Linked DNA regions of Sus scrofa. The protein of the gene in region 1 interacts with the protein of each later gene in a biochemical or structural test. Links are inferred from orthologs where the notes say so. Each region holds a gene or a part of one and is shown on either strand. Other genes may lie near its edges.

Region 1 (4,275 bases):
CCTTCCTTCCAACTGCAAAACTTTCTCCTCTTGATCACTATGGCATCACCTTCTTACCTCACAGGTCACTCCTTCCCAGTCTCTCGCTGGCTCTTCTTCTTCCTCTGCCCAACTCTGAAAGAGTGGGGATACCCATAGCCCCGTTCTCTATCTATAATCTTTGATTTGATAATAGCATCTAGTCCCAAAGTTTTAAGTTTCATGCATAAACTCATAACTGCCAAATTTATGTCTCTAGCCTAGACTCTATTCCAGACCTGTTCACTTGACATTATCACTTAGCTATCTAGTAGACACCTTGGACTTGAGTACTGTCAATGCCCTCCAGCTAAAGAGCAGGAGGAACCGCAATTGAACAAGTTAGGTTTCAGTGAGAATGCACACCAGGGACAACCATATAGCATCTCAGTAAGAGGGTGTTAGAAATCTGGGTTTGTGTTACATGATTTAGGGATGGGTTCAAGGAAGAGGGACTTATTGGGAGCTGTAGGAAGGCAGGAGTAAATCTATAATTGTGTATTTTAATAAGTACTATCTAGAATGGCTGAGTGTTTACAGAGGCTAAAATTTTAATTAGTAAAGAAGCAGCAGTCGCTCCCATTAGCCAGGAGAAGAAAATGTTTGCTCATTTTTGTGGCTTGACAAAATGTTTACATTTGGTCTATATCTAGACAAGATTACAGAATGACCTTATTTCTGTCTTGATCCATCATATCGAGGTCACAGAGTGGCCCTGCCTGATGCTGGTGTTCTGTGAAACTCCCTCCCCCCAACTTACTAAGCTGATATCCTACCCTTGCACTTGATCTACCCTTGGCCAACTAGTCTCTTTCCCATTTGGCTCCCAACACGATGCCTCCTTCTGTCACGATCGCGTCCTTCCACTTTATTCCCTTCGGAGCGTTTATCAACATCTAGAAGAATGTTGTTCATTTATTTATTTATTGTCACTGTCTCACTGGAACTTGGCTTCATAAAGGGACGGCGGGGTTTTCTAGGGCGTCTTCTCCGCTGTAACCCCAGCCTCTCGAAGCCAGCCTCAGAGCCAAGGGCTCAAATATATGCTGACTGACCAAGTGGCAGTGAGAATGTCACTGGGCTTGTTTCTTTGAATACAGCCACAAACAACTAGCAATTGCCTTTGTTTGTTGGTTTGTTTGTTTTGAACGGACAGGTGGGGGCATTCCACCAAAAGAAGTGAAAGCTGGGAGTCGAGAAAGTGAACGTCTTTTATCCGGAGGGTCCAAAGTCTCTCTAGGTGAGAATGAGACTCTGCTGTCTCTGACTTACTCTCTTTCCTCCGAGTGCTGTTAGATCCTTAACCTTAGGGGTCACCGTTTTCCAGCGAAGGATCACTCCCCGGCTCTCCATCAGCAACCGTTCCTGGACCAGCCTCCGCCTTGGGGCAGGAACCCACCCCCTGCGCAGGCGCTCGGCGCAGAAACCGCGGCGCGCCGGCTTCACACTGCGCATGTGCGACTCGAGGCGGCGAGGCGGGAAGCGCTGCGCAGGCGCGGTTGGCCGGCTGGCTAGGTGGGCGCTCTTGGAAGCGGCAACCTAGGCTTCTGGGGAGCCACGGAAGTCGTATTCCTTTAAACCGTGAGTTTCCGACGGTTTGTCCCATGGCGCGGGCTCGTGAGGGATTAGAAACGAGTTCTGGATCGTGACTTCCATTTTGTCGCAGCGCAGTGCCCCCCCCCCGACTTTTCGGACCCCTTTGACCTGCGGCGGGAAAGTCGTGCGCCTGCGCACTCAGCGTCCCGTGCGGTCTCGGGTTTGCGGGCACCGGGTCTCCCCCCGCGCAGCGCGCGACCCGCGCTGCCGGAAGGATCCCATTCATGCCCGCTTCCCCGCCGGGCGCTCGCGAGCAAGGTCGTGTCAGTTCTCCACCAACTTGCGTGGGGCCTTGGACGGACCCCCGGCGCCCCCTCTCAGTGGTCGGGCGCTCTCCTCTGCCAGCCTCTCCCTCGGCTCGAACCGCTGTCCCCACTAAGGCTTCCCCGACCCGGGTCGCAGCCTCTGCAGCCCCCGGCGCCCCCGTCCCACCGTCGCCGGGCGGTTTTCCCTTCGGCCCCCTGCTGGTTTTTTCTGCGATGTGAAAGTAAAGCCAATGGAATCCTTAGAAATGGCTCAAGTTTCCCCTTCCTTGGGGAATTTTGACCTACGGTGCGTTTTTAAATGTTTGCCCCTTGGGGGACAGTAGCACTTTTTAGTGTTTAGTTCACTGAGTGATATAAACTTCTCACCTGCTCCAGAATTCTGATTTTCACAGCTGCTTTGCTCCCCCTGTGGACATGACCCCTTAGCTGGCATTTTGCACCCCACTTGCTTTGTGATGGAGGCGTCTCTGGGGGTTCAGATGGATGAACCAATGGCTTTTTCTCCTCTGCATGGCCGCTTTCAGGCGGATGGCTCATTAAAAAAACATGAGCAGAATTTTAAACTACCAGGTATGTGTTTATTTCCAAAGATGTACAGGCAACAATTCTGTAATTTCTATTATTAAAAAACAAACACAAGGCCCAGAACACTTCCTGAAATTTCAAGTGACTTGTGTATTTAAATAGGAGCAGTTTATGAATCAGTAAAACTTTCTAAGGTCTAGTTTGGGAATTGGATTGCATTTTGGGAGGATTGTCGTCTAACCATACCATTTTACAGATGAAGTTGCTAGTCTAAATATTCCTGGTTGTCAAAGAACACAAAGTTTGTTGATACTCGACGGGAATTTCTCTTCTAGAATTTCTACCACTATATTGCATTAAGCTTGGATTTAGCAATTGACGTTGGTGGGATTTTGGTTTAAGTATGCAGCAGCAGTATTCACTGACAAAAGTAAATGAAATGTTTGCAGTGATAATTAGGGACTGTATCTCAGTGTACATCATGAAGTTTTATTTGCCACTTAGCCTGACCTTGAAATGAGAGAGAGGGTCAAACAGTGCCTGAGTTTGCATTCTGTAATGTGCGTCTTTATTCCTGCTCTAGCACAGTGCCTGGGACAAGGCAGGCATTTAATAAATATTGGTTAAATAGGGGTTCCAGTTGGTTGTTGGTTGTATTTCTTTTTTCCTAAATGTAGCTGAGTCTTTTTTTCCATCTTTGTCTTAAGCGTTATTTAGTACTTGTTCAAAAATATTATTTTTGGGAGTTCCCGACCTGGCTCAGCAGTAACGAACCAGCTAGTATCCATGAGGACGAGGGTTTAATCCCTGGCCTCGCTCAGTGGGTTAAGGATCTGGCGTTGCTGTGGCTGTGGTGTAGGCCGGCAGCTGCAGTTCTGATTCAACCCGGAGCCTGGGAACTTCCATATGCTGTGGTGCAGCCCTAAAAACAGAAGGGGAAAAAAACCCACTGCAGTGAACAAAGTATCTGGCATAGTATTAAATCAAATGTTTATTCTTTCCTTTTCTCAGCAAACTTTTTTTTTTTTTGAAGTATCTGCCGTATGCCAAGTTTAATAAGTGATAAAACCTTTTGAGTTGAAAGAATGAGGTATAAACTCTGTGTGCACTGAGTGTCTCCTCCATACTGTTGAGTAGAAGGCTTGCTTGCGGGGTGCTATCTGGATGCCCTTGGCCCACACTTCTAAGACGGGTTACAGGTAGTGTTCTGGTTTGCCCGAGACGGGTCTAGTTTATGCCTGTTGTCACAGTGTAATTCTTAGCGCCCCCTTTCATTCTCAGAGTGTCCCAATTTGGGCTAAATGGTATGATCTCCCTTGTTACAGGAGACCTGATTTTAGGCCGTACATGAAGCCCCAGAATAAGCATGACATATATTTCTAGAGTGTCAGTTTACTGCTTGGTAAGAAATTGAAACCATTTCATTCGTATGGTGAATATTTCTTAAATGTCTGTTAGTGCAGGCAGCTTCCTGGGTGCTGGTAACACATCAGTTCACGATGCACAAAAATCAATGCCCTCAAGTCGTAGTAGAGATAGAAAATAAAAATTAAATAGTGTGTTCAAACATAATTAGTGCTGTGAAGACAATGCAAAGGGAAGGAGTGCCAAGACATTTTGGGGAAGAAAATTGTGATTTTAGTCCGAGGAGGTTTGGGGTGGTAACATTTGGGCTCCGACTTGACGGGGTTAACTGCCCGTGCATGTGTCTGGGGCCGAGCGTCCCAGGCAGAGGAATCAGCGAGTTTGAAGACCTTAAGCTGGAGTGTGCCCAGCACTCAGAGAGGGCCAGCTGCTCACGGAGCTGCAGGACGGCAGGAGAGGGGGGTGAAGTCAGAGAGGGGCGAGAAAGGAGGTGGTTCTATGGCTT
Region 2 (2,197 bases), on another chromosome or scaffold:
TCTCACCCGGCCCAGGGTGGGGCTGCCCCTCAGTCCGATGAGCCCCTGATGGGGCGTCAGCACTGCCCCTTCCGTTGGGGTGCCTCCGTGGGGAGACCTGAGGTACCCTCTCTGCAGGCCACAGGCAGCATCCCCATCACAGTGCGGCACATTGAGTCCATGATCCGCATGGCTGAGGCCCACGCGCGCATCCACCTGCGGGACTACGTGATGGAGGACGATGTCAACATGGCCATCCGCGTGATGCTGGAGAGCTTCGTGGATACACAGAAGTTCAGCGTCATGCGCAGTATGCGGAAGGTGGGCGCGCCACGGCATGGGGGCGGGGCCGGACCCAATCTTACTTGGAGCGGCCTTGAGTGCTTGTGGGCTGGCTGACTCCACCTCTCTCCACAGACCTTCGCCCGCTACCTGTCCTTCCGGCGGGACAACAATGAGCTATTGCTCTTCATCCTGAAGCAGCTGGTGGCTGAGCAGGTGGCTTATCAGCGCAGCCGCTTTGGGGCCCAGCAGGACACTATTGAAGTGCCCGAGAAGGACTTGGTGGACAAGGTAGGGTGTGGCCAGAAGGGAGCTTGGGCGGCCTGGGGCTGCAGGTCACCTGGGCAGAGCATCCTCTGTGCTTAGTGGCCAGGCAGGGCTGAGGGCCGCTTCACGGATGTGTGTGCTGTGCTGAGCCTGGTTCTGCACACTGCGACCTTGCCTGCAGCCAGTCACTGGGTGTCCTGTTACTGTCACCCGTTCTGCAGGGCCCGGGCACAGGGCAGCCACACCCCTGTCCAAGTTCACAGGCAGCTGTCCACACTAAGCTTTCAAGCCCCGTGTCCAGTTCCAGCCACTTACTTGGCCTTGTTTACCCTCCCCGTGATGGAGACGGAGCCCCTGCCACCCATGGCTGGGCAGCAAGTCCTCCTGGCTCACTGCACACCCCTCTTTTCAGGCTCGTCAGATCAACATCCACAATCTGTCTGCCTTTTACGACAGTGAGCTCTTCAGGATGAACAAGTTCAGCCATGATCTGAAGCGGAAGGTGATCCTTCAGCAGTTCTGAGCAACGGGGTTTTTGTGTGATGCTGGCAGGTCTGCTCAGGAAACCAAGCCAGTCCTAGAGGGAAGGTGGTGTGGCTGGCCTGCAGCTGCATGTTTCCTCACTCTCGAGTCCTGCTTGGTGATTTCATTTCCTCTGCTCTTGCCATCTGGGTTACCACCTTTCCCAGAGCTGCTTTTTCAGCTGCCCGCCAGTGGCCCACCACCAACCTCCTTCTGTGGGGTGGTGTGGCATGTGTTCAGGACACCCAGGGTCTGTTCTGGGAGATGGGGTTCATGAGGCAATCTTGGCATGATGTCTCTGTCCTGCTGCCTGTGCTGCCATTGCCTGAACGAAGAGCGAGGTCACTTTACTTGCTGTGTGTTCTGAACTGGGTCCTGCGGTTCTCTAGGCTTTCCTGAGTAGAGGCAGCATTTGGGTTCTTCACAGAGGGGACCCTGACTGGTCACATAGCCCTGCAACCTTGGCTTCTGCCAGAGGGAAGGTTGGTTGGGGTCAGGGATGATGACTCGTGGTGGGGGTGATCCCAGCAAGGCCCCTGTGTGGGGTAGTCTGTCCTCCTGCCTGGCCACTTCCCCATGCTCTTGTTTGTACATTCACTTCTCCTTCCTGTAGTTTTAGTTTTTAATAAAATGGAGTAAAATCTGAATACTGGTCTCAACTTTACATCTTTGGCATTGTGCCTCAGGCCTCCCTGCACTTCCCTTTTTGCCCTGTCTCCTGCCTCTGGTTTTCTGCAGGTGTAGGTCAGCCTGGAAGAGTGGTTTTGTCTGTGGGTGTGGGTCTTCCTGGGGAGTTCAGTTGGCAGTTGCTGTCTGTGTGTCTATCTGGAGTCGGGGGCTCACACATACTGGTGCACCCAGAGGGCCTGGAGGTGACTGGGCCTTGGGGAACAGCCCTGCTCTTTCTGGCACTGCACTGGCCTCTCCCTGGAAGCTTGTGGCTGGAGACCTAGGTTGAGGTCCAGGGACAATGGAGAGCTTCCTTTTAATGAAGAGGGAAACAGTTTCACAGGTAACTTTGAATCTAGACAGCCAAGTTGTAGTCCCCATGGGGCTGGGTGATCGATCAGCCTGCTGAGAGCAGAGTGGCAACTGCTGTTGGAAGCTTGAGTGCCTACTTGTGAGCCAGCTAAGGACACTGGGGTGA

What was found.
Region 2: of the proteins of CDC7 (region 1) and MCM2, one has a biochemical effect on the other in vitro, tested with the Homo sapiens proteins (8 studies listed by BioGRID). The link is inferred for Sus scrofa from reciprocal best matches to the Homo sapiens genes CDC7 and MCM2.

The regions. Positions count from the first base shown.
Region 1 is NC_010446.5:125,456,560-125,460,834, reverse strand, and holds the start of CDC7 (cell division cycle 7-related protein kinase), read left to right. Parts: upstream 1-1,475; 5' UTR 1,476-1,599; exon of another isoform or gene 1,600-2,166; intron 2,167-2,255; 5' UTR 2,256-2,335; coding exon 2,336-2,450; intron 2,451-3,277; exon of another isoform or gene 3,278-4,275. UniProt on the Homo sapiens protein: Kinase involved in initiation of DNA replication. Phosphorylates critical substrates that regulate the G1/S phase transition and initiation of DNA replication, such as MCM proteins and CLASPIN.
Region 2 is NC_010455.5:72,629,878-72,632,074, reverse strand, and holds the end of MCM2 (DNA replication licensing factor MCM2), read left to right. Parts: intron 1-117; coding exon 118-300; intron 301-396; coding exon 397-552; intron 553-940; coding exon 941-1,051; 3' UTR 1,052-1,697; downstream 1,698-2,197. UniProt on the Homo sapiens protein: Acts as a component of the MCM2-7 complex (MCM complex) which is the replicative helicase essential for 'once per cell cycle' DNA replication initiation and elongation in eukaryotic cells.